Linked DNA regions of Sus scrofa. The protein of the gene in region 4 purifies or fractionates together with the protein of the main gene of each other region. This does not show direct contact. Links are inferred from orthologs where the notes say so. Each region holds a gene or a part of one and is shown on either strand. Other genes may lie near its edges.

What was found.
Region 1: the proteins of YWHAE (region 4) and CGN purify together in Homo sapiens (affinity purification with mass spectrometry; 3 studies listed by BioGRID and IntAct, counting the BioPlex papers as one, with this or other methods). This does not show direct contact. The link is inferred for Sus scrofa from reciprocal best matches to the Homo sapiens genes YWHAE and CGN.
Region 2: the proteins of YWHAE (region 4) and MAP3K3 purify together in Homo sapiens (affinity purification with mass spectrometry; 7 studies listed by BioGRID and IntAct, with this or other methods). This does not show direct contact. The link is inferred for Sus scrofa from reciprocal best matches to the Homo sapiens genes YWHAE and MAP3K3.
Region 3: the proteins of YWHAE (region 4) and DDX6 purify together in Homo sapiens (affinity purification with mass spectrometry; 3 studies listed by BioGRID and IntAct, with this or other methods). This does not show direct contact. The link is inferred for Sus scrofa from reciprocal best matches to the Homo sapiens genes YWHAE and DDX6.
Region 5: the proteins of YWHAE (region 4) and KLC2 purify together in Homo sapiens (affinity purification with mass spectrometry; 3 studies listed by BioGRID and IntAct, with this or other methods). This does not show direct contact. The link is inferred for Sus scrofa from reciprocal best matches to the Homo sapiens genes YWHAE and KLC2.
Region 6: the proteins of YWHAE (region 4) and XPO1 fractionate together in Homo sapiens (co-fractionation; 3 studies listed by BioGRID, with this or other methods). This does not show direct contact. The link is inferred for Sus scrofa from reciprocal best matches to the Homo sapiens genes YWHAE and XPO1.
Region 7: the proteins of YWHAE (region 4) and MAP3K21 purify together in Homo sapiens (affinity purification with mass spectrometry; 3 studies listed by BioGRID and IntAct, with this or other methods). This does not show direct contact. The link is inferred for Sus scrofa from reciprocal best matches to the Homo sapiens genes YWHAE and MAP3K21.

Annotation. Positions count from the first base shown.
Region 1 is NC_010446.5:97,727,699-97,731,863, forward strand, and holds the start of CGN (cingulin), read right to left. Parts: upstream 2,801-4,165; 5' UTR 2,778-2,800; intron 2,427-2,777; exon of another isoform or gene 2,303-2,426; intron 1-2,302. UniProt on the Homo sapiens protein: Probably plays a role in the formation and regulation of the tight junction (TJ) paracellular permeability barrier.
Region 2 is NC_010454.4:15,288,785-15,292,284, forward strand, and holds part of MAP3K3 (mitogen-activated protein kinase kinase kinase 3), read right to left. Parts: intron 203-3,500; coding exon 81-202; intron 1-80. UniProt on the Homo sapiens protein: Component of a protein kinase signal transduction cascade. Mediates activation of the NF-kappa-B, AP1 and DDIT3 transcriptional regulators.
Region 3 is NC_010451.4:46,061,037-46,065,243, forward strand, and holds the start of DDX6 (probable ATP-dependent RNA helicase DDX6), read right to left. Parts: upstream 2,801-4,207; 5' UTR 2,597-2,800; intron 2,352-2,596; coding exon of another isoform or gene 1,554-2,351; intron 1-1,553. Other genes in the region: proline-rich receptor-like protein kinase PERK2, read left to right, coding at 1,554-2,351.
Region 4 is NC_010454.4:47,610,828-47,614,327, reverse strand, and holds part of YWHAE (14-3-3 protein epsilon), read left to right. Parts: intron 1-1,359; coding exon 1,360-1,466; intron 1,467-2,113; coding exon 2,114-2,320; intron 2,321-3,500. UniProt on the Homo sapiens protein: Adapter protein implicated in the regulation of a large spectrum of both general and specialized signaling pathways. Binds to a large number of partners, usually by recognition of a phosphoserine or phosphothreonine motif.
Region 5 is NC_010444.4:6,124,157-6,128,376, forward strand, and holds the start of KLC2 (kinesin light chain 2), read right to left. Parts: upstream 2,801-4,220; 5' UTR 2,659-2,800; intron 2,025-2,658; exon of another isoform or gene 2,002-2,024; 5' UTR 1,955-2,001; coding exon 1,727-1,954; intron 1-1,726. UniProt on the Homo sapiens protein: Kinesin is a microtubule-associated force-producing protein that plays a role in organelle transport. The light chain functions in coupling of cargo to the heavy chain or in the modulation of its ATPase activity.
Region 6 is NC_010445.4:80,293,016-80,296,515, reverse strand, and holds part of XPO1 (exportin-1), read right to left. Parts: intron 1,463-3,500; coding exon 1,268-1,462; intron 1-1,267. UniProt on the Homo sapiens protein: Mediates the nuclear export of cellular proteins (cargos) bearing a leucine-rich nuclear export signal (NES) and of RNAs.
Region 7 is NC_010456.5:57,433,469-57,436,968, forward strand, and holds part of MAP3K21 (mitogen-activated protein kinase kinase kinase MLK4), read right to left. Parts: intron 1,142-3,500; coding exon 991-1,141; intron 361-990; coding exon 263-360; intron 1-262. UniProt on the Homo sapiens protein: Negative regulator of TLR4 signaling. Does not activate JNK1/MAPK8 pathway, p38/MAPK14, nor ERK2/MAPK1 pathways.

The DNA.
Region 1 (4,165 bases), on a different chromosome or scaffold from region 4:
GCTGTTCCTGCCTGCAACAAGGGGGAGGGCACTGCACCTGTATCAGACAGCCACTTCTCCCTGAGTTACTCATTAGCCTGCCCTGCCCCTATTCCATCACCTCTGGCCCCGGCAAAGGCTTCTCTGGCTTCCAACTAAGAGTGACAGGGTCTCTGGACTCCTGGCAGGAAGTGGGGGTGGGGTGGTTTCGGGTGTGCCGAGGAAGCGTGGGTATACATAGGGCCAAGCAATATACTAGATGCTATATAACTGGCAGATGAAGAAAATGGGTGAACTAAAGGTACAGAGATTAGACTCCTCTCAGAGGTAACAAGGAAAGCAATTGGTCAAAATAGAAAAGGACAGCTCAGTGACCTTGATCTTTCAGTTGCTATTTTCTCATAAAGAGTTAGTGAGATAAGGCTGCCGAGGATCCAAAATGAATCCCCCCCAAGTATACTCCTAGCTCAGTCCACTGAAAAAGCCAAACCTGAGCACCAGGCTAGAGCGGCTTGGCCAGTGTGTGTGTGGGGGGAATGCAACGAGGAACTGGGCCCCTGCAAACTGGCTGGACAGGTTTGAGAAGCAAGGGGAAGGGGAGGGAGAAAGCAAAGGGAGACGCCACTGGCAGCTTGTTAAGCAGACCAGAGAAATTCCACACCACAGAGGAGGCAGAGGGGCAAAGCCCTGGGCAGGGACTCTGTCCAGCCTAGATGCCAAGACTCTGAAGGAAGAGGCAGGAGCTGGGGAGGGAACAGGCAGGAGGAGCAAATACACAATGAACCTGGTAAGTGACAAGTCAGTGTGCAACAGGAAGACTTTGTCTCCCGCTACCCCTCCCTCTCAAGTTCCCAAGGTTGCATTCCAGATCTCACACTTAGCCAGGCCACCTCCCTGAACCTTAGTTCTCCCCCCACCCGCCAGTACTAAAAGAAGCAGCAACCCTACCCCTCCCACTTCCCATGGGGGTGATGGCAGGCGATCAGTCTGGGGAAAGCAGGAAGGGTTCTAGGAAGCCAGAATCCTCTTAGGGTCAGGCAAATCTCTGGATGAACAGTCCCCTAGAGCCAGCCCCCCATTTCCAAAAAATCCAGGATGAAAAAAGAGGTGCAGAGGCATGTGTAGGCAGCCTGTCAACAACATAGCGGTTACTAATTATTTCTCAATTACAACAACTCTCCTCAGGCAGGGCATCAAAGGGGCTAAGCTAAGGCTGGCTCAGGTTCCCTCACCTGCCTAAGGCAAGGAAATCTGCTTCAGAAGTTTTGCCTGGGCCCCGACTGAGCACCTCTCATCCAGCCTGGAGACCTGGACGGGCTAAATCCCCTACTCGGGTGGTCTCCTGAAGAGTTCCGCCAGTTTCCTGAACCAATGCCTACTGCCTGATAGCCATCACCGTCCAGCTGTCAGGGATGCCCGATGGGGTTTCAGAAAGTAATAGGGATTTTCGGAGAAGCATCAAGGAACCTGGTTAAGCTCCCAAACGTCACCCAATGGCTCCATCTAAAACCATGGAAGTATGTGCTTGGGGGGGAGAGGGGGGTTGACGTTAGCTCCCAGGAAGAGGCCTCTTTAGAAAGATGTATTTCTACATATTTTGAAGACCTCGGGATCTATGCTTACTCAGATCCCTCTCCTGTAGAGCACTCTCTCAAGAGGAAGTAGGAAAAATTCTCCCTGGCAAGAAAGCAAAGGAAGACAAAAACTGAAAGCCTTCGTTTCACACCTAGCAGACATGGGGGTGCCCTCTTGCTCTACTTCTCAGTGCCTGTTAATTGCACCTGTCTTGCCCTGTAGGTGAGCAATGGTTAGAGAAAGATTGCACACCTCAGAGCCATCTCAAAGTCAGAAGGGAGGTATCAGCGCCAGCTCGGACTGGCCGTCGGAGGAAAGAACCTCAGGGAAACAGCACCTTTCCACGCCCTCTCACTTATGTCTCCGAACCTCAGGCAGCAGTCCCCTTTGCCCAACTGAGGAAACACTCCTTCCCCCCACCATTCCCGCCTCTGAGAAATCCTGCCCCGGGAACTGGCGTCTGACCACCAGAGCTATCTTGGCCCTGAAACACTTTCATGCCCTGGGAATAGCCTCAGCCTCAGGTGCCCCTCACCTGGCACCTTCCCAAGCACCTGCCTCTGGCACCTGAGGACAGGAGCCAGCTCTTAATCAGTGCTCCCACCCTACCTCGACCTCCCCTCCTCCTCTCGCCAACACAGCACCTGTGCCCTGGGTATCTCAGATCGCCTCGACTCCCACCCCTCAGGGGTACACCTGAGGGCTCGCCTGCCTTTCAGGTGCCCTTGCCCCCGCCCGGTTCACTCACCCCAGCCGGGCTCGGCGCTCCCGGGCTCGGGCTCGGGCTCGGGTAGAGCTGCACGCGCGGCTCCCGGGCCCTCCCCCTCTGTCCCTCCGCGCTCCCTCCTTCTCTCTCCCCCTCCCACCAACCTGTTACTCCCCTCCGGAGCTCCACCTCCATTGGCCGTCACCACCTGCCCCGCCCTCCCCTTCCTCCAGTTGGTCCGTTTCCCACGAGGGGCGGGCCGGCCGCGTCAGGGACCCGGACCTGGGGTCGCCAGCCCGGGTGGGCGGGAGGGGCTGTCTGGGTCACGTGGGCCGGGGGCGGGGCGGCGAGGGGCATCGGGAGGCCATTTTGGGGGCGTAGTGGTCAGCCGCTGGCGACCGCCCCCGCCCCCGCCAGGCCGGGGTCGGGAGCCGCCAAAGCATTTTCTCGCCTCTGCTGCAAAACAATCCCCCGCCTCCCGGCTTCGCAAGGGGACTGTCTTCTGACCTTCACCTACCTCCGCATAAGCTGGAATCCTCTTCCGTCGCATTCTGCGGAAAATATCTCCCAGTCCCCCGACGTCAGAGCCTCCACATCAGCTCCGTCTCCCTTTTCCCCAACCCGAGCCAGACCCCTGTCTTGGATTCTCCCCCGTCTCCTGGCCTCCCCAAATCATGCAGCCTGGTGCCTTTTTCTCTGTAGTGTTTATCACCTTCCAAGTTATGTAATTAAATCTAAATATCATATTTGTCTTTTGTCTCGCCCTACGCCAAGCTTCACCAGGGCAAAGATCTCTTGCTTTGTTCTCTGCTTTATCCCAAACGCCTGCAACAGGGACCGACATTTGTTAGATGCTTAATAAATATTTGTTGAATGAGTGAATGAATGAATGGGAACCGGGAGGGGTGAGTTTCCACAGAATAGGAATGACTGTCATTCTAAACAGAAGGGGATCTCAACCCCAGGTTGTAAATCCATTTTAATCTTTCAGGAAGTGGGGAAATTGACTCCAGTCCCTTGACGAGTAAAGGCAGGGGTGCTCAACCAACTGCAGGCACTCTGCTTATCTTCTAGCTGTAGTTAAACAGCGAAATCTGGCCTCCTAGGTTTTAATCGTTGAGGTATGTAAGAGATTGACTTAGTTTATGTTGCTAGGTTCTGATATTCTCACGTATTTATTCAACAACTATTTATTGTGTACCTATTGAGGATTGAAGAGGAATCTTACCTGCCACTGACAGTCTAGGGCTTTCCTGAGAGCACATTTCCTTCCCTTCCCCCCAAACTTCAAAGCCTACGTGTAGGACCTGGAGGGTAAAGTCCACCTCCCAGTTCCTAGGCAGGGAAGCAAAGTCTCTGCATTCCAAGGGAAGCTTTATGTAGGGATTAGAGTCATCAAACCGGCCCATGGCCCGGGGAGGAACAGCAAAAAAAAAAAAAAAAAAAACTGTAAGGGTGGGGATAGGGAAAGGAAACATCCCTCCAGGACCATGTTATCTCTAGATCACTGGGGGTTTTTTTGCTTTTTTTTTTTAATGTGAGATTGTTTAATTGACCCAAGTATTGGAAACGTGGAAACTCTCCTAAGGTAACACCTTAATAATTAGGATACTTGTATTTGTAGTAAATACAAAGTTAGGGTGGTAAAGGAGACACCCCACCCAGCACTACGAACACAGGTTGCAAGGAAAACTAGGAGGCCTCTGAGTCACAGTCATCGTCATCTGTTCCTCAAGGAAGCACTCAGTCTGACAGAGAAACTATCATTAGGCACGGGTGTCAAAGGGGACACTAAGACCTTTCCCAGAGGTTGTGGTCCCATTCCTTAGAAATGTTACAGGAGGTCCCTTCGTGGCTCAGCGGTTAGCAAACCCAACTAGGATCCATGAAGATGCAGGTTCGATC
Region 2 (3,500 bases), about 32 Mb from region 4:
TCATTGGCTTCTCAAATATTTCCCACTTGAACACCTCTCCCCACCAAGTCCAATTAAGCCTGCTATGGCCACACACACACCTGCCTATTTGGGTGACCAGTGTCTTTGTTCTTAATGGTCTCATATCCAGGCACCCGGGGACGTCGGCTCATCTGGAGGGCCACCAGATCCTTCATGATCGAGTTCAGTGCCTCCTGTTCGTCTGCAAAGAAAGAAAGCACATGCACTAAGATACTTTAACACAGACCACAAAAGTACTTTCACAAATAAACATGACATACTCAGGGAGTTCTGCCCAGGTGAAATGACAGATCCTGTAACTATAATCACATGAATTTGCTATCCGTGAAAAGTAGATAACTGAGGTCAGACTATGGCAATGTGAATTTTAATGGATTCTAATAGCTTTCCAATCAGATTTCTGGCAGCAATATCTATGAATTCACTGGGGGCAAGGGAGGTGCTCAAACAGAGCAATTCCTCGTGCCAGAGAAACTCAACCAGAAAAAATAGATGAGAAGTTGGAATGAAGTGAAGAACAACAGAGCACAGTGTAGTAGGGTACGGAGTGAAAAGATGAATTCATGGAGTTGATTATGGGACAAAGACATTCTTTTTTTATTTTTTATTTATTTACTTATTTATTTATTGTCTTTTCGTATTTTCTAGAGCCTCGCTCGCAGCACATGGAGGTTCCCAGGCTAGGGGTCAAATCGGAGCTGTAGCTGCTGGCCTACGCCAGAGCCACAGCAACGTGGGATCGGAGCCGAGTCTGCCACCTCCACCGCAGCTCAGGGCAACGCCAGATCTTTAACCCACTGAGCAAGGCCAGGGATAGATCCCGCAACCTCATGGTTCCTAGTCGGATTCGTTAACCACTGCACCACGATGGGAACTCCGACTTATTCTTAAAGCATCGTTTGTAGAAAAGCATCGTTTGTAGAAAAGCATGTTTTAAAAGGTACTAAACGAGGACCTCAGGTTGCTGTTTTGAACATAAGTTGCCTAGCCTTTGAAGGCCTCCCCTCCCAACTCTTTACAAGTTTATAGGCTTTCTGCTTCCCAGAGGGAAGTTAAAAGGCATTTCTATTGTTTTTCTTCCCTAACTGACCAAGCAACGCATTGTCTCTGCCTTACTGGTATTACTTGTAATCCCCCTTTCTTGAAATAGCATAGAGCACTAGAGTTCTCATGCACTGAAGACAACTGGCTAAAACCTAGAACCTAAAACAGCCCAATTCCATGTTTTGCAAAATTCTCCCAGGTCTTTCAAGAGGTCCTTGTCCACTCAAATGGCACTGTGGTGTAGAAAATAAAATTGATTTGTTGATCTGCAAAGATACCTGAGGAATGAGTTTTTACACTTGCTTTAGTAACAAGTCAGTCACTTAGGGACTCAGGGCGCACCTTAAAATAAGCAGTGTAAGACTCCACCAAAAAAGAGTTCCCGTGTGGCACAATAAGTTAAGGATCTGGTGTTGTCACTGCAGCAGCTCGGGTCACTGCTGTGGCACAGATTTGATCCCTGGCCTGGGAACTTCCACATGCTGCAGTGGCAGCCAAAATTTTTAAAAAGTTTTAAATTGAAAAAAATAAAAAGGCTCCACCCAAAAAGGGTGCCGATCTTCAGCCCTGTATCACTGTCTGTTGAAAATATTCTCATACCCCATGGAAAGAGCAGCATGGAGCATAGGAAGTAAAACGGTGTTATTTGCTTCTCCCCTTTCCTAGACCAACTCTACTCAGATGCCCTATATGCCATTTGAGAAGGTGCAGAAAAGGAAGGAGAAGGGTGCCCATGAAGAGGTTTTTGCCTGATCAGAAAATGAGATTTAAGACTTGCTGGAAAAACATCAGTAGAGTAACTTCCCAACTAATTCCACTTCAAAATATATTCAAAAGTATGAAAGTGATAGAGCTGTAAAACCAAAAGAATGAGATAAATGGAATAACAGAGGAGGAAGTGGGTATCTATACAAAGACACTTGTCAAAATTAAAACACATACATCCCATCGATTATTTTATATTTTTAGCAATTTACCTATAAGCTCCTTAAAGAGAGGGAACCTGCTTGGTTTTTGTTTTTTAACCTCCTAACCAAAATGTAAAAACAGAGCATAACATCTAAGCTAGGATGATTGGCTAATATATATATATATATATATACACACACACACACATGCTTATATATTGCTCATATGTCATTAAATATTATACATGTATAAAATTATTGAGCCAAATGTAACAGTTAATTTCAAGTACAATTATGATTAGATGGGTGTTTTCTGAGGACCATCCAGTGATGGTCCTGCAGCAGAATGCATGGAGTTTTCGGTATCAAGGTAACCACCCTCTGAAATGAGAATTTCAATTGTCTCATCTCAGACATCGAAACAAGATGGATGTGAATACATGCAGACACACACATATGCTTTTCAAGTCAAATACATGACACGTGTGACTAGAGAAACTGTTTCTAATTCTGTGTAAAATGATGCTATTATAAGAGCTGGTCTATCAAGTTGACAAAATCTGTTTCCAGGAAGCTAACCAATTCCTGGTATTACTTAATGGCTAAACTTGTTTGGTAGTTCCAACGCTGAGAACACACTGGAGGAATGGTCTGGCACAACCTCTTAAAATTCAGGACAACTGACACAAGTGAAACAAGAGTTATAGAATCTGATTTTGTGTCAAAGTTGAATACATTTCTAGAGGCAGACTGTTTCTTTTTTTGGGGGAGGGGGATGCACCTGTGGTATGCAGAAGTTCCTGGACTGCTGTGCTGTCACCCCACAGCAGTGACAACAGTGGGTCCTTAACCCACTGAGCCCTCAGGGAACTCCAGGTTCTTAGTAATCTGATTATTTTAAACTGAGGAAAAGGATTAAGACAGTAACTAAATCAAGTGGCTCTTTTAGGCATTTCTTCCTGGATTGAGATTTTTTGATTTTTTTTTTTTTAATCTTTTTAGGGCCGCACCCACAGCATATGGACATTCCCAGGCTAGGGGTCAAATAGGAGCTATAGCTGCCGGCCTATAGCATAGCCACAGCAATGCCAGATCTGAGCCGAGTCTTTGACCTACACCACAGCTCAGGGCAATGCCAGAACCTTAACCCGCTAAGCAGGGCCAGGGACTGCACCCAAGTCTTCATGGATACTAGTCGGGTTCGTTACCACTGAAACCAGGGGAACTCCTTGGATTGAGATTTTAACTGAATTATCTGTACTACTATATTTTACTTAAAAAATAAAAACAAACCTTTTAAATACAAATAGTAGCTTTCTTAAGAGTGCAGCAGTCAGTTATAGGGACTCTGGAGTTAGAAAGACCTGGGTTTAAGGAAGCCTTAAACAAATCACTTATTCTCCCTAAACCTCAATTTCTTCACCTGTAAAATGGAGAGAGCAAAAGTATCATTACATAGAGCTGCTATGAAACGTAAGAGGAAAAAAAAAACACGAATTATTCTTCATGGTACCTAACACTTAGTAA
Region 3 (4,207 bases), on a different chromosome or scaffold from region 4:
AAGGGATATAAAATGTATACACTTTTGCTTGAAAAACAGCCAAGAAAATCTTTAGCTACATTAATTAAATCTGAATACTACAAAACTGGTATAATTTTTAGTATAACACTTTTCAAAAGGCATATCCCAACTTGAAATAGCACTGCTTTTAAATTACAAAAACACAAAAAGGAATTTACTTCTATTAAAAAAAAAATCTGTGAGAGGCTAAAAACACTAGTAACTTTGATCAAACTCTCCAGGAAACCCAGAGTACCAATTAATAGTTAAATTTTAAAAAACTATTCCCCAATCAAATTATTTGTAAATAAAAACTTAATTTAAAAGCCAGGCAGAAAAAGCCAGAAAATAAAGGCCTGTTTGGTTTGTCAACTGCTTTAAATGTTTTACCAAAAATACACTAGCTTACTAGTTAATGTTTTCTTGCCATATACCGAGATTTCTCAAACTATAAAATCTTTTAAAATACTCTTTGAGGTTTTTTTTTTAAATAAAAATCAAGCTGCTCAAAAGCAAATCTTGATCATCACATACACAAAGCTGTCTATTTCCACGTCTCCCAAGAAGCTGAAAGTCCTCTTAAGCAGAGGGTGGTTAACAGCCACCTAATTTCAGTTCAAGGTAGTAAGTGGTTTCCAGTATTGACAGGTTTATATTATGATCAGCAATACCAGCTACTTCACACCAGAAGACTGGTTTGCAAAGCACTAAGAGGATGAAGAAGGCAACCTCTAAAGATTAAATGATATCATCACTGTCCATTATACACACAAGACCTTCTATCTTCCTATATCCAAAATGTGACTATGTGATAACTGCTCCCCTCTTAATTAAGCTAAAGCCTGCACTGCAGCTTTATGTCTCAGGAAAGGAAATATTCCTCCTACCCTTTCTCAATTTAGATTTGCAAGTTATATTTCTACATTTTCAAAAATACGAACGACACACAGACTAGTTGGGAGGAGCCCCTAGCGGAGTTAATTACAGCACTTTCCAGATCGTAGTTAGCAACTGACAGTTTCACACGCCAAACTGTACCGTCATCTCCAAAAAGACCTTTTGTTTGCAAATGCAGCGCAGTTTCTCTAAGCTTGGTGTGCAAGTTAGAGTGACTGTTCTATTTTGAAGGGATGAGGGGACTGTCGAAGAGAAAGGGGACTGGGCGATAAGGGAAAGAAACAAGCCAATGATTCGAGCTCCCTAATTGTAGGGAAATCATTTCTTGCTTCTATCTTCTCACCCCCACCCAAAAAAACCCACACACTTCAAGTCAGCTCTCTGGACCCATAAACACAAAAGGGCTGGAGCCCTGCAATCGTATCTGCGCAACAAGAGCAGGGAACCAGCTCCGCGGGTAGGGAACAATAGGGACTCCCCCAAAAAGGCCCCAAAGAGAAACCCTTAAGTCAGAAGGCCTGTTCTTTTCTCCAAGAATCCGGGGCTCCAAGATCACCGCCTTGTTATTGACCTACACGGCCTTACTCAGATCAAACAGCCGGTCCTCTTCCAAACCAAGCTCTCCCGACACCGCATATCCCTGCCGCCCCCTATAGGGCCGCCTTTTACCCAGTAACCTCCACCATCTCCCTAAGTCCTTGCTGCCTCCTACGGTCCCACCTTCCCTCATCTTCTACAAAACTCCTCTGCGAACTTCGCCCGCTCCTTCTCCAGACCCTGTCGCGCACCACATTGCTCCATCCTACTCCTCCCGGGCGCCCCCACCCCACACAGCTGCCGCCCGCCACCCGCCTTCCTCCCCAGGGCCCGGCCAGGCCTCAGGCCTCCACCTCAGACCCCCTTTCAGAGCTGCCGGGGGGCTACCCGCAGCCTCGGCGTCAACGCCGACCTCCACCCCCCCGCCTCACCCCACTTCCCGCGGCTCGAGCCCGAGTCCTACCACCGAGGCCACTCCCGCTCGGCACCCCCGGTCCTTTATTGTTGACTCGAAGCTCCCAAAATGGCGGCCGCTCCTTCCTCCTCGGAAACCTCCGCCCGCCCCCACCCGGCCCCTCGCTTCGGCCTCCTCCCGCCCCGCCCCCGCTCAGCTGCCAGGGCTGCACTGCCGACCAGCCAGCGCCTGCCCGCTCCCGGGGCCGTCCAGCCCTACCTCCGCCGCTGCCCGCGCTCAAGGCGCCGTCGAAGCCGCCGCCCGGACTGAGCTAACTCGGCTCCCCCGCTCCCTGCCCCCCTCCTCCCTGCGTTCTCCGCATGGCGGCCGCTGCGGCTCCTCCTCCGCGCAAGATGGCGAGACTCCGGCCGCCGCCGCAGCTGTGTCGGCCGCGGCGTCTCAGTCTGTCCTGCTTCGCGACAGGACAAATCCTGGCCAGGGAACCTACCCGAGGAGAAAATGAAGGCCTGTGCTTTCCTACGGATCCGGGACTCACGGGGCCCCGGTGGAGGGGAAGTCGGAAGGGAAATACGGCTCCCTTTCTGAAGGGAAAGGAGGGCTGCTCTTTCTACAGCTGAGGAGAAATGATAGGGGAATGGTCGCTGGGAAGGGTCCCCCTAGAGTGGAAATCGGGAGCGTGGGACCTGAGGAGGATCTGCTTTTTCCTGACCAAAGACCGGGTAGCGGCTCGGGGACGGGAGAGCTGACCTGACATCTCCCGCGGGCGAAGGAGGCTGCTGCAGGACCGAGGGGTCGCGTCCGAGCCCCTCCGGCCTCCATCCAGGAACACGCGGAACCAGTAGTCTGGAGGCGCCAGCGCGCGCCGGGGTTTGGGCACCGGAAGGGGGGCCAGCCGGGACCGGTGCAGCGGGGAGAACCCCGGGGAGCGCGCGGGGCTGGGGACAGGGGGCGCTGTGTCAGGGCAAGCGGGGGGTGGGGGAGACTGTAGAGGCGGATCTGGCGCGGGGGTGTTGGGATGCTGAGTAGCCAAGGTGCGACCACGGCCGGAACCCGGAGAGCGAGCCTCAGGAAAGAGAATGGGACACTGGGGCAGCGATCCTCCTCGCTCTGCTCCAAAGAGCAATTCTCAGAGAGGGAACCAGGGAGGCCTAGCCTCTCCCAAAGGAAAGAAACACTGAGTCAGTTATTATAGGAATAAGAGCTCTGCACATAAATGGGGAACCAGAAGACCGAAGGCGACTCCCTTTCCAGATTGACCCTCATCAGAAAGATAATTATGTATTTATACCCATAAATATTTTTCACATCTGAATGTCTCCGTTTATCCTTAACAAAAATAACAGGAATGGACTCTTGTTCCAGGTAAAACAAGAACTGGAAGCTAGAACGTTTAAGTTAGGTCCAGGGAAAATATAAACCTGGGTCTCACCCAGCTGAGAGACAATATACAGGGCAATGACCAAACCATGTGTTGACGACCCTCAACTTCTGCTTCCAGTAGCACGAGAGGCGAAACCACAGCCTCTGCAGTGACGGAAGGGGCAAAAAACTTCGTCGTTGACTGCCAGCTTCCCGAATTTTTGCCCCTGCTCCCAACTCGGGACCAATCAGAGAAAGCCAAATATATTCCCTCAAACCAATCACTTAAGATGCCCAGTTTCTAGTTAGCCCGCCTCCAGCTACCCCGTGTTAACAACCTCCAATCAGAGCATACCCTGAAGCTTTACCGCCGCCCCCTGCCCTTTTTTTTTAATTTAATTTTTTTTTTTTTTTTTTTTTTTTTTTTTAAACTGCCGGCCTCTAAGTCTACCAAACTAAGAGAAGGCGGCTGGCTCCCTTGTTACAGCAAGCTTTGAATGAATAGCCTGTTCTCATTGGTGGTCTTCGTTTATTTTATTTCCACACAGCCTAAGGAAAGGTGGTAGAGAAGTGTGAAAAAGCTGTTCTTGAGATTTTTTAATTCCCTTTAATTTGTTCATCTAAATTTGTAGTATGTGGTCTCCCACCCAGCTTTTAAAACATCCACTCATTTAAGGGAATAACTGGCATCTTGTGCCCATCCCGGAGAAAGAATGGCTAAGTGGTTCTTTAAGAAAATGTTGAAGTATGAGGCCTCACTGTCTTTCCAAGTAGCAGGAATGTGAAGGGGAGGAGAGCAAAAAGGGAGTGGGAGGGAGGAGAGCCTAGGGATTTAAAACAGGCCACAGCCCGCTCAGGTCTCTTTCCCTAGACCGCTCAGACCAGCCAAAGGAAAGGGATGTGTTCATAAATAAACTGTTACCTTCAAAGGGGGCCTGACTGAGGTCTTGACAAAAACCAAAAGTGAGGTGCCATTTCTTCTGCAGCCAAGAGCAGAAT
Region 4 (3,500 bases):
TTTTTTGGCAGCCCTGTAGCATATGGAGTTCCCAGGCCCAGGATCAGATCTGAGCCACATTTGCAACTTAGGCTGCACCTGTGGCAAAGCCAGATCCTTGGACCTCCTGTGCCAGGCTGGGGTTGAACCTGTGTCGTCCTGTTGCTACAGAGACGCCACTGATCTGTTGCGTGCAGCAGGAACTCCATCATTGTTTTAATAGAGTAGAAAATACCCCATGGCATTGGGCATTTCATAAAGTTGTTTCATATATATGTGATGTTTTTCTTATTGTGGGTTTTGGTTACAAAAGTTTGATTTACTGTAGTGGTTCTTAACCAGAGGTTGATTTTGCTCCTCGGAGAACATTTGGCAATGTCTAGAGACGTTTTTGGTTTTCACAGCTCGAGGGTGCCACTGGTATTTATTGCGTAGAGGCAGGGATACTGCTAAGCATCCCATTATGCATAGAATAGCACCCCCCCCCCAACAAAGATGTATGTAGCCCAAAGTGTCACTAGTGCTGCTACTGAGAAACTGATTTTAGTGGAGCAGAGAGACATATAATCACACTCATTTAAGAGTACAGTGAGGGAAATGACAGAAACAGTCACAAAGCATAGGGAGAGATATTACACTCTATGTAATTGTGCAAGTTAATTTAATCTTTAAATGATCTTGTAAAGGATAGGTTACTATTCCACTTTATAGATGGGAAAAACCAAGGTTGTTCTGAGTGATTAAGTAACATACCTGGTACCACATAGAAGGTGGTGAGCTGGTATTAGTGTGACCATTACCTTCAAATACGTTGGAACAAACAGGAATCGTCAGTAGACAAGTTTGATGTCTCAGGGATGAGGAAATGAGAAAGTTTAATGTGCTGAAAAGAGAAGTCTGTGTGCTAGATTATAGGATTTGGGGTAAGTAGGAAAGGAAGCAGGAAGCAAAAAGAGGGACTGATAAATTGGGAGAAGATGAGAGTCAAGAGACCGGATGTCCTGATGTGCCTTTAAGTAGGAATAATAGTAAGAAAGGAACTAGAAAAGGAAGTTGTAATCCAGTAGTAAAATACTGGAATTTAAGAATTCCAGGATAGGAGTTCCTGCTGTGGCTTAGTGGGTTAAGAACCTGACTAGTATCCATGAATGTGCGTGTTCGATCCCTGGCCTCCTCGCTCAGTGGGTTAAGGATCTGGCATTGCCACAAGCTGTGGCTCAGATCTGGAGTTGCTGTGGCTGTGGTGTAGGCTAGCAGCCACAGCTCGGATTTGATCCCTCGTCTGGGAACTTCCATATGCCGAGGGTGTGGCCCTAAAATAAAAAAAAGAATGATAATTTGTATAATTTCGTATTTAAAGTTTTTGACTTTTTTTTTTAGGTTGAGACTGAGCTAAAATTAATCTGTTGTGACATTCTGGATGTACTGGACAAACACCTCATTCCAGCAGCTAACACTGGCGAGTCCAAGGTTTTCTATTATAAAATGTAGGTTCTATACTAGATGGGAAAATGTCAGATTAAATGTTGGCCTTTTTAGAATCACTTTTTCTTTTAGGTTTTCAGCATTTTATTTAATGTTGAAAGGGTAGTTAACGGGAGGACTGAATCTCAAAACTTACATTAATTTTTGAACACACATTTGCAAATTTACTGCTAAGAAGAATCAGTATTACTGCATTTAAGACGGTCAGACTGTTACTGTAAAAATGTCCTAGGTTTTGCTTTTCCTATTTATTATGTTCATTGGCTTGTGTAGGGCTGCCCCCCCTAGCTACAAGTAATGCAAAGTTTTTTTTCATGATTAATAAACTACCGTGTCAGTCTTTGGAACCATTTTTCTGTTTTAATTCAGGTCTGTCAAGTGGTTAAATTTGATTTTTTTTGAGCCCTTTTGGTTAATTTTGTCTAGGATTTTTCTTAACATTTGGCAGTGTGAAATCTGAGGAAAACTAAAGAGATGAGGCAGTCATTCCTGAAAGAGACTTTTTGAAATTTCTGAATTATATGTGTTAATTGTTATGCATTTTTTTTGCATACTTGATTTTATGTACTACAGAAAAATTTGAGGAATTTATTTTAAAAGTATTATTCCTAATTCTGTTGTTTTTTTGTTTGTTTTTGTTTTGTTTTAGGAAAGGGGACTACCACAGGTATCTGGCTGAATTTGCCACAGGAAACGACAGGAAAGAGGCTGCAGAGAACAGCCTAGTGGCTTATAAAGCTGCTAGTGATATTGCAATGACAGAACTTCCACCAACACATCCTATTCGTTTAGGTCTTGCCCTCAACTTTTCAGTATTCTACTATGAAATTCTTAATTCCCCTGACCGTGCCTGCAGGTAAGTCATGAAAGAGAACAAAAGCTCTCAACTGTGAATGTGAAAAAGGTTACAAGGGAGAATAGCTACTTGTTTTTCTGTCTTGTTCCCTGGGACTGCTTTTGTCCCCTTGGCCATGTAATAAGAATTATTTTGGGAGATCCTGTCATGGCTCAGTGGTTAAAGAATGTGGCATCCATGATGATGCAGATTTGATCCCTGGGCTCACTCAGTGGATTAAGGATCTGGTATTGCTGTGAGCTGCGGTGTAGGTCGAAGACATGGCTTGGATCCCGAATTGCTGTGGCTGTGGTGTAGGCCCAGCAGCTACAGCTCTGATTCGACCCCTACCCTGGGAACCTCCATATGCTGAGGGTACGGCCCTAAAAAAGTAAAAAACAAACAAACAGAAAGAATTATTTTGGCTCTTAATGAAACTGTTTTGGATGATATATAGACTGACTGATTTCAGTTCACTAGGATAGCAGGATAATTATGTTGATGGGGAAAAATTTGATTGGTAGAAATTTTCACAGTACTTCATTTTTATGTATTAATTTTCAAAGCCTTTCTACCATGTTTTTAATATATTACACTCTTAGTGTACATCTCATTTTGTATTTTGCATCCTGTTACTTCCATCAGTATGTGAATATTCCCTCATTTATACTTCAGATTGTGCCCCCCCCCCCTTTTTTTGTCTTTTCTAGGGCTGCCCCTGTGGCACATGGAGGTTCCCAGGCTAGGGGTCTAATTGGAGCTGTAGCTGCCGGCCTATGCCAGGGCCACAGCAAAGGATTGGAGGCATGTTCTCGACCTGCACCACTGCTCACGGCAACGCCGGATCCTTAACACACTAAATGAGGCCAGGGATCAAACCCCTGACCTCATGGTTCCCAGTCGGATTCATTAACCACTCAGCCATGACGGGAATGCCAAGATTGTTCCCAGTTGTTGATACCGACATAAATTTGAGGAATATCTTTTTTTAAATTAATTTTTTTAATCATTTATTTATATATATATTTCTGTACAGCATAGTGACCCAGTTATACTTACATGTGTACATTCTTTTTTCTCATACTACGTGTTCCATCGTAAGTGACTAGACAGAGTTCCCAGTGGGAGTATCTTTATCTACATAGCTTTTTACTTATTAAATATGTATAACGTTTATTATTCTAATGATTTTTTCATTTTT
Region 5 (4,220 bases), on a different chromosome or scaffold from region 4:
GGGACTCTGTGCTTTCTAGTTGATTAGCAAATGCCTAAGTGACAGGTGTTTTCACAACCACTAGCTTTTTTAAAAAAAAAAATTCCCTAAACAGCCTGAAAGTGTGTATGGCAGATGGCATGATCCCTATTTTAAAAACAAGGAAACCAAGATGATACCACCTGGCCAGGATTCGTGGAGCCAGGCAGTGTCTCCGCCAAGATCTGAGCAGGACAAAGCTCTTTCCCCAAGAGCCCTAACTCCCTGTGCACCCCAGTGCCTCCTGGACATCGCCATCCGCCTGTCATCGTGGCAGCCCCGGCCCAAGAGGGCCACAGAACGAACCCCTGATCCATCCAGGCTCTCTCCTCCCCTTAATCTGCTCAAGCCTCAAACCTGGGAGCCATCCTGCTCTCCTCTCTCCCCCTTAGTCCATCCCAGGCCCTGCCTGACTTACACCCAGAGCATCTAGAACTGGTCCCCTTTCTTACTGCCCTCATGGCCATCCCTTTACTCCAAGCCGCCATTTCTCTCTCTCTCTCTCTCTCTCTCTCTTTTTTTTTTTTTTTTTTTTTGCTTTTGTCTTTTAGGGCTGCACCTGCAGCATATGGAGGTTCCCTGGCTAGGGGTCGAATCAGAGCTACAGCTGCCAGCTTACGCCAGAGCCACAGCAAGGCCAGATCCGAGGTGCGTCTGCGACCTACGCCACAGCTCCCACGGCAACGCCGGATCCTTAACCCACTGAGTGAGGCCAGGGAAGGAACCAGCAACCTCATGGTTCCTAGTCGGATTCGTTAACCACTGAGCCGTGATGAGAACTCCCAAGCCACCATTTCTCATTTGCATTCCAGCAGCGGCTTCCTAACCACCTGTTCCCACCCTAACCTCGATGCTTCATTCCGTCTCCACGCTTCAGCCCGAGTGAGTTTTTAAAATCTAAGCCAGACTATGTCCCTTGACTGCTTAAACACTCCAAAGGCTTCGTGTTTTCCTAAGAATAAAACCCAAACTAGTAAAGCACAGATGATGGAGTCCCTGCCTTCTTCACAGGCCTCTTTGGTCCCTCTCTCCTTCCCCAGGAAGATCCAGTCAGATAGGTCTTCTTTCAGTTCTCCCACCAGAACAATCTTTCCTACCTCAGGACCTTTGCACATGCAACTGTTCGCTCATTTCCTGGAGGCTGGTTCACTCCTTCCCTCAGATCTACTTTTTTACTAGCAAATTCACTCAGATCTTGATTTAAATGTCATTTCCTCAGAAGTCTTGCCTGACCAATAAAGAAGACCTCCTGCTTTATCAAAAATCTTGTTCTTTTCTTTGGAGAACCTACCATAATATTGAACAAATAGATGTGTTTCTGACTCTCTCCCTACTGGACTAGGGGACGCATCTTGTCTGTCTTGTTGGACGCGTCCTTGGCACCTAACATGTTGCCTGGCACATAGTAGGCTCTTGAGAACTTATCTGCTAACAAATAAATAAAAGAATGATGGGGGATTTCCTTTTTGTCTTCCTAGGCCATTCAGTCTCTGCTACCTAGCAGAGAAGGGAGATGATCAGGCTTTCCTGGGGCCAGGCATGGTTGGGGTCTCCAAAGCCCACCCATTTCATGACTCGGATCCTACCATGGGGCTCCAGAGGACATATGCTTCTTCCCTGCTGATTCTGTTACTGCATTGCCAGGATTCCTCTGGAAGGCTCCATCCCTCCCATGACCTCCCTCGTGAGCACCCCCAAACCAGCCTACCTGGGCCTCCCCCAGCCCCAGCTCGATGGCCTCCAGGGAGCGGCGAAGGAGGACACAGCGCTCCTGTGAGCCAGGCTCTGCCTCACCAGCTTCATGAGCGACCAGGGGCGCGAGAAGGGCGCGATGCTCCCCGCGCAGGGTCTCTAGCCCTTGGATGACGGCCTTGGTGCCCAGCACGATCTCATCCTGGCTCAGCTTCTCCTCCCGAGGAAGCACCATCGTGGCCATGGTCGCGCCGCCTGTGAAGGCGAGAGGGCGGGCAGGGGGTGCCGGGCCTGGGGCCACGCCGCCGTCCGCCCTGGATTAGGTAAACACCTGGGTCCCCGGACGCCTGGATCCCTGGAGTGCCCTGGTGCCCCAGGCTGCAGCCCGCACCGTGCTCGCGCTCGGCCTACAGGGGGCGCGCCCGGCTCGTCTTGGCCCGGGAGACGCAATGCGGTGCGACCTGCGAGGCTGGACCCGGATTCGGCCCAGACCACTGGCTCAGGCCGGCCTAAGCCACCCAATCTCGGGGCTTCCCCGGAGACTCCCTTAGCCAGAGCAGGGCGCGCCAGAGGAGGGTCCTACGAGGACCGCGGGGGTTCACTCCCACGCAGAGACCCCAGCCCCCTCCCCAACAGGCAGGCCGAGCCACAGAGCCCCGCCTCCGGGGCAGGCCGACCCTGGGGAGACCCTCCCCCTAAGGAGGTGAGACGTCAGGTTCTCCATCCCCCCAGGCCGCGACCACGACAATCCCTCCCCATCATAGGGCAGCACGAAGTCCTGAAGACCCCTCCCCTGAAAAGGCCGAGCTCCCGCCCCCAGCCACCGAGGACCGCGCCCCCTCCCCGCGGGCTGGCATGGCCCTGTCACAGGCCGCGCCCACGACGACCCCTCTCCTAGGCCGACCCAGAGCCACCTCTCCCGGCCCGGCCCGATCGGCCCGCGCGGACCTGCGTCTCCCGTTCGGGCCCGCCTCCCGCTCTGGCTCCGGCTCCCTCCCGGCTTCACCCAGAGCAGCAGCCGTGAGCAGGTCCCGCTGCCTCCATCCCGCCGGCCTTCCCAGCAGTCCCCGCGCCGCCTTAAAGGTGAAGCCGGTACCTTGGCGGCGTCGGAGGGGGCGAAACACTTCCCAGCCGGCTGACTGCCTTAAAGGAGCACGCTGGCTGGGCCCACTCCAGGCGAGGGGGAGGGGTCAAGGGCGTGGCCATCAGAGGTGAGGCGTGGCCATTGAGGGGCGTGGGTTCGCCTGGGGCATAAATTCCCAGCCGCCACTTCCCAATCTCCTGCGGCCTCGGATTCTTCCGCTGTAACCGGCTCCGAAGCTTAGGGGTGTGGACAGACTGGGAAGATGTGCACCTGAATTTACCTTGTACTGAGGCCAGAGTGCGCGGCGGGAGAAACTGAGGCCCAGGGAGAAGGCCCCGCCTCCTCAGTCCCGGGGGAGACATTTGACATTTATCGACATTTAACGAGGTAGTTGCCACCTTCTCAGCACTTACTGTGTCCCGGTGCACGTTTAATGCTAATGCAAACCGAGTAAAGCTGGTGCTGCTGTTACCCCAGTCTCGCAAATCGGACCCCAGCCTTGTTCGTCTCTAGAAAGTGGCTTTGCCCCACCCAACTCCTTCGGAGCCGTCCTCATTCCTATAGGAGATTCACGGCATCTTAGGGCTGCTTCTTGGGAGGAAGAGACGGAGGCTTCTGGCCCTAAGGGAGAAAAGAGTGGCCAGGGGCAGCGGGGCATCCTGCGGGCGAACACCACAGCAAATCCTATTGGTCGGATAATCAAGACAAAGGGATGACAGAGTTCTCTGGTGGCCTAGTGGGTTAAGGATCAGGCATTGTCACTGCTGTGGCTTGGGTCACTGCTGTGGTGAGAGTTCCATCCCTGGCCCAGGAACGTCCACATGCCGCGGGGAGCTGCAAAAAAAAAAAAAAAAAAAAAAGACAAAGTGATGATGCTGTCATTCAGGGTCACCTCCTCAGAGAGCCTGTCCTTGACTCCCCACCCCCTCTGTGGAGCAGCCGTCCAGCCTGTCTAGTGCACCCATTTAATTCTCTCTGTTGCATTTATTCCTTCTAACATTTTCCTTGTCAGTTTCTGTCTCCTCCCTAGATTGCAGGTCAAGGTCTGCCTGTTTTGGTCACTCCCAGAGCAGCTCCTGGCCAGCCACATAGCAGTGCTCATGTTGTTATTTTTTTCATAAGAGACAGAAGGGTGCCACTGTTGGCCCAGGTTTTGCTTGCAGCCCTGCCTTGCTGGCTACCCTGGCCCTGCCTCCCCAGCTTCTAGGTCCTCATTGCTGGGTAACAGCAGGATAACCGCCCCGAGAGACACAGCCTGCCCAGCAAGGCCTGGCATTGGGACCCAGGGATCTGGGGCATTCCTCATGAGTCAGGGTGGGTTCAGACTCAGACGCTAGCAGGTTCCGGCATCCTGGTGGATGTGAGAATCCTCTCGGCATCCGGTCTGGCAGAGAACTTGTCTGGCACCACCCCAGGGCTCAAATAA
Region 6 (3,500 bases), on a different chromosome or scaffold from region 4:
AATTCAGTATAAATGTTTGGAGTTTTTAGTGGATCCCATAAGATGTATGGCCTGCTGAAAAAGCAAACCCAAAGACAACAGAATTCACCTCTCAAGTAAGACAAAATTACTATTTATTATACCAATCACTTCCCAAAACAAAGGAATACAAGGTCATTTAATTATAAAGAGAACTCATCAAAAGCCACGTAAGAGGAGTTCCCATTGTGACTCAGCGGTAACAAACCTGAACAGTATCCATGAGGATGCAGGTTCTATCCCTGGCCTTGCCCAGTGGGTAAGGATCTGGCCTTGCTGTGAACTGTGGTGTAGGTCGCAAATGTGGCTCAGATCCAGCCTTGGTGAGCACACAGGCCAGTAGTTGAGCCATAGGGTGGGAACTTGCATATGCCAAGAGTGTGGCCCTTAAAAGACCAAAAAAAAAGCCACCTAAGAACCACGCACATTTTCTAGTAACTTTAACACAATCACTACCAACTTTTTTTTTTCTTTTTAGGGCGAACCTGTGGCATATGGAAATTCCCAGGCTAGGGTTGAATTTGGGCATCTGAGATCTATACCACAGCTTACGGCAACACCAGATCCTTAACCCACTGAGCAAGGCCAGGGATAGAACCCACATCCTCATGGATACTAGTTGGGTTCTTAACCCAACTCAGCCACAATAGCAATTCCATCACTACCAATTTGTGTGTGTGTGTTTGTGTGTGTGTGTGTGTGTGTGTGTGTGTCTTTTTGCCATTTCTAGGGCCGCTCCCGCGGCATATGGAGGTTCCCAGGCTAGGGGTCGAATCAGAGCTGTAGCCGCCAGCCTACACCAGAGCCACAGCTACGCAGGATCCGAGCCAAGTCTGCGACCTACACCACAGCTCACAGCAACGCCAGATCGTTAACCCACTGAGCAAGGGCAGGGACCGAACCCGCAACCTCATGGTTCCTAGTCAGATTTGTTAACTACTGCGCCACGACGGGAACTCCCACTACCAATTTTAATGACCTTGAGACCACTGTACAGATTAGAAAATTGTTACCTACTGCATAAAGGTATAGACTTACATGTACCTTTTCTTCCTCTTGGTTAATACATTTCCCCATTCTTTATAAGGATATACTATACTTATAAAAACTAAAAATGTAAACCCGCCTGTTTATTTCAACAAATACAACTAAAGCCAATTTTTCAATAAATGCAAGTTGCTATTTGAACAATCTCAAATGTACCTTGCTATTATAATTTCTTGTACATTAAAAAATGCAGATCACATACCTTATTTATCATATTCAATGTGCATTCAAAAACAGCATCAAATATTTGAGGTATTTCAGCTGTTATATGTCCTCCTAACTTGTTGACAATAATAGCCATAGTACTGAGCACTTCTGGTTCTCTAGCAGCTGGGACATTTCTCTGATAATCAATGAGAACGGCATCCAACAGAGGAGGAACAAAATTTTCAGCTACCTGTTAAAAAAAGGAAAAACAAAACAAAAAATTTTCAACATTAATTTAGGCACTTGTTAACTCATTAAGTAGCTAAGTCAATATCTCTAATTTAGGTTGAGTATCTGCTGAAAACTGCTAACTCCTATACTTTAAGTTTAATGTATTAAAATTTTCTACCAAGAGATCATGATAGTCTGAGGGGGCCATAGACAATGTAGTTTAAATCTGTTAATTATTAAAGGAAACTGAGGCCTCAAATCAAGTGACTAGCTCTAATGCAGCAGGACCAGGATTCTAAGGTACTGTGTATGAGGGATGGTTAACTTCAAAGTAGAGACCCACCACTTACTCTCAATAAAGTCTTATTAAGGCGTAACTTTCATGTTTTTAATAGGTTCTCCATTAAGATGTTTAACAATAAATACAACCAATGTTTCCTTTAAAGATTACTGGTTAGTAGTGTCCCACTATGCAAAACAGGTCTAGTAAGATTTTTAACAAGCAAAAAATTATTGTCCTTTTACCCATTTGGTTTTTTTTAAAACTAGTTCTTACTTATTTTTCTTGATCTTCAAGTCTGAGACATGCTTAATGTACAGCACTGTATAACTTTACTTACAATTTTCTTATATAATACACAGCAATGTTAGTTCTATTTTTTTTTTTAAAGTGCTGCACTGCAGCATATGGTAGTTTCCAGACCAGAGGTCGAACTGGAGCTACAGCTGCCAGCCTACACCACAGCCACAGCAAAGGAGGGGCTGAACCGAGTCTGCCACCTACATACACCACAACTCATGGCAATGCCAGATGCTTAACCCACTGAGCGGGGCCAGGGACTGAACCCCCATCGTCATGGGTACTAATCAGGTTTGCTAACACTGGGCCACAAGAGAACTCCTCAGCAATGTTAGTTTTACTTATCGTTTTTGTATATCACATCCTTAGTTCTTATTTATATTAAAACTGAAAGTTTCATCTTTTGACTACCTTCATTCAATTCTCCCTATCCCATCCCTCTCCTCTGGTAACCACAAATCTGATCTCTTTTTCTGAATTTGTTGTATGTTTGTTGCTAATGTTAACTCCTGTTACACAGCATAGTGATTTGAAACATCTCATATCTGTGACTCATTTATTTTGTAATTAGAGGTTTGAACTTTTTTTTAAAGTTTTGTGGGTTTTTTTTTTTTTTTGTCTTTTTAGAGCTGCACCCTAAGAGGTTCCCAGGCTAAGGGTCCAATGAGAGCTGTAGCTGCCAGCCTATGCCAGAGCCACAGCAACGTGGGATCTGAGCCAAGTCTGCGACCTACACCACAGGTCACAGCAACACCAAATCCTTAACGCAGTGAGCGAGGCCAGGGATCGAACCCACAATCTCATGCTTCCTAGTCGAACTGTTTCTACTGCACCACGACGTGAACTCCAGAAGTTTGTACTTCATAATCTACCTCACCTATTTCTTTCCTCCTCTACCCTCAAGTATCTGAAATTATTTTCCTGTAAACTGGCTCTTTTAATTCAGTCTCAAAACTCAAATCTTAGTTGTAAAATAATACCTTTCTTGTTATTAACACTAATACTTCTGAAATTACTGCCCAAATTTTTATAAATTATGAACTTCTCAATCCCTTCAGTTCATCCTATTTTTTATTTTCCAATTTTTTTTTGTCTTTTGTCATTTTAGGGCTGCACTTTCGGCACATGGACATTCCCAGGCTAGGGGTCTAATCGGAGCTACAGCTACCAGCCTACGTCAGGGCCACCGCAATGCCAGATCTGAGCCGCCTCTGTGACCACATCACATCTCACGGCAACGCCAGATCCTTAACCCACTGCGTGAAGCCAGGGATCAAACCTGGTTCCTAGCTGGATTCCTTAACCACTGAGCCATGACAGTAACCCCTACTTTCCAATTTTAAGTTAAGTTCTAATCTCATAATGCACCTTTAAAACCTTTTGGTATTTAAGGTTGATACCTTAAGAATTTCCTAAAAATTTTCCCTATAAATAGGAACAATATTGAAATCCCAAAATTATGAAATAAATGGCATAC
Region 7 (3,500 bases), on a different chromosome or scaffold from region 4:
ACCCCCAGCATATGGAGTTTCCCAGGTTAAGGGTCGAATTGGAGCTATAGCTCCTGGCCTACACCACGGCCACAGCACACTCGGGATCCGAGTTGCATCTGTTACCTACACCACAGCTCACGGCAATGCTGGATCCTTAACCCACTGAGCAAGGCCAGGGATCGAACCTGCATCCCCATGGATCCTAGTCGGGTTTGTTAACCGCTGAGCCACAAAGGGAACTCCTAATTCAAACAAATTCTACTTCCCGACGCACATTTACCTGGCTGGTCCACAAATAAAGAAGCCAACGGCACAGTTTTCTGATTTTTTATTAAGACAGTTGACCAAGGGCTGTTGCCATCTGAGAGAGGTCTTATTCTAGAAGAGAAAAATGTTTTATTTTGAGATAATAGAACCACGTGACACACAAATTAGGTTTTGGAGGATACAGGCCAACAATATTTTTCGTTAAAGAAAAACATTTGTACTCTGTTTTAAAAGAACTCAGCAGAATACAAATAAACCCTTAACATGAGACAGACTTTTTTTTAACTGCTTAACTAATAATAGTTAACTGAGGATGATGAACTCATTCGGAAGTTAGATACATATTCGGGTATCTCTGCATTATTCTAAATGCTTTTAAAAAGTTAAGCCCAGCCATTGAAATATTTAAAAGACAGTGCCCTTAGAGTTCCCATTGTGGCGCAGCAGAAACAAATCTGACTAGTAACCATGAGGTTGCAGGTTTGATCCCCGGCCTTGATCAGTAGGTTAAGGATCCAGCGTTGCCATGAGCTGTGGTGTAGGTCACAGAAGCAGCTCAGATCCTATGTTGCTGTGGCTGTGGCGCAGGCTGACACTGTACCTCCAATTTGATCCCTAGCCTGGGAACCTCCATATGCTATGAGTGTGACCCTAAAAAAAAAAAAAAAAAAAAAAAAAAGAAAAAGACACTGCCCTTTGTCTCAGTACACACTATAATGCCACCAGAAGCCACACACTCACCTTTCTTTGCAATCAGCTCTCTCTTTCATTTGAATCGAATTTGGTCCCCAGGTACAACCCTTTTTCTTGAAATTCCTTTTTACATCTTCAAATTCTTCTTGTCGACAGACCGTGTTCCTTCCCCAAGTTTTATTGCTTTCATCTGAGGTCACTAGACAGACAGCATTGCTCATTAACCAGTTAAAAAGTTTTTAAGTTAAAATGAATCAGATCAGCTGTAAAACTATCTTCTGAAAACATGTAAACTATTAAGAAACATGAAAACAAAGAAGAAATGACTTTCTTCACCCTATCGCTGGCAAACTTCTTTCTCTAATCGTAACAGCAACAGAAGTAGAGTAAACGAGAAGACACACATTCAAGGTAAATTAGCAGTAAAAAGTTGATTATTTATTCATCTATGTATTTAACGTTATGCCTGGGGCACTCTGCTGTACATCAGAAATTGCCACAACATCGTAAATCAACTATACTTTAACCAAAAAAATATTTATTTAAAAAAGGAAGAAAACAAAATGCTGGGGGAAAAAAAGTCAATATTATGTGACAGTTAGGATTTTGTTTTATTTGAGGAAAAAAAAGTGACATTGAACACTTAACTTAAAACACACTTAGCACCTAATTTTTTAACCAAATCAAAGTTTTGAACCTAAGGAATGAAGGTACTTTTTTTTTTTTTTTAAATGTATAGTTGATTTACAGAGTACTGCATTTTTAAATTTTTTTTATTGAAGTATAGTTTCAAAGTTACATTTTAAAATTGGAATTTAAGCCAATTTTTCATCAGTCATCATAACCGACTACAATTACCTGTTAAAATCTGAACATAAGTAAGTTCCCCCCCGTCTTGTGGTGCCTCACAGGGAGTTTCTATCCATGTCTAAGAGCCACATGCTGCTGACACACATATGTGCCAGCCTTCTGGCCTCTCCGTGAACTAGCAGCTGCCTTGAGAATCACTGGGGAGAGTGGCTGTTATTACTCGGAAAACAACCCTGACATACACCAGAGGTTCTGAAACAACATTATGACATATCTGTAGTGGATAAAAATATCCACATAAAATAAAGTAGAGAGAAATAATATATAAAGTTTACATAATGCATTTATATTAAAAAAATGTTTATGAGGAATTCCCGTTGTGGCTTGGTGGAAACAAATCTGACTAGCATCCATGAGGCTGCAGGTTTGATCCCTGGCCTTGCCCAGTGGATTATGGATCCGGCATTGCCATGAGCTATGGCGTAGGTCTCAGATGTGGTTTGAATCTCGCACTGCTGTGGCCGTGGTGTAGGCCAGCAGCCGCAGCTCTGATTTGACCCTCTAATCTGGGAACCTCCATATGCTGTAGGTGCAGCCCTAAGAAGACAAAAAAAAAAAAAAAAAAAAAAAAAAATTAAGTCTTTAGGCATACACGTGCACATCCACACATCTATACAGAGGAGAAGGTAATAAACCCAGACTTCAGGATGTAAACTGGTACAACCATTATGGAAAACATTATGGAGGGATCTCAGAAAACTAAATACAGAGCTACCATATGATCCAACAACACCAGATCCTTAACCCACTACTCTACAAGAGACCCTACGCTGGTATTCTTTCCACTGTGTCCGGGATAATCTTTTTTTGTTTGATTTCTCTGAAATGATTCCCATGCTGCTCAATGCGTGTAATTACCCCTTCCCTTAATTCCAGATTTTTTTTTTTTTTTTTTTTGCTTCTTACAATGCTCTCAGCATCAGTTTTTCTCACTCAAGTTTACTCAATGTTTCCCCGTGGCTGCTCCAGGGCAACATACCAGACCTCATCTACGACGCCTGGTGAGAGGCGGTCCATCCCCTGAATCAGATGCATGTGTATGCGTACCTGACCTACTGTGAGGCCAGATCCTCACAATAACTACACACTTATGTGGAAGAGACAGAACCAGGCAGAAACCCCCAAGGCCACAAAGAACTTCAGAATAAGAATAATGATGACCATCACAGCAATGGCCAACTCAAGCAGGGCGCTGACCATGGTAAGACACTGTTCTGAGCACTTTATGTCCATTGGACCTTTTATTTTGTGGCCGTTTCTTAAAGAACTAAATAAACATACAATCCAACAACCCCACTCCTTGGTGTGTGTGCCAAGAAGGTGGAAACTGATGTCCACATGAAACCCCACACATGAATCTTTAAAGCATCTACATTCACAACTGCCACATTATAACCTGGAAGCAGCCCAGATGTCCTTCAGGAGGAGAACAGCTAGATGGCAACACCTTCATACAATGGAAGCTGACTCAACATTCAAAGGAAATGAGGTGTTTTTTTTTTTTTTTTTTTGTCTTTTGTTTTTTTTTTTTTTTGTCTTTTTAGGACCGCACTCGTGGCATATGGAAGTTCCTGGGCTAGGGGTCGAATCAGAGCTGCAGCTGCCGGCTTACACTACACATCTGTGCCACATCTGCGACCTACACCGCAGCTTATGACAATGCCGGATCCTTAACCCAGGGCCAGGGA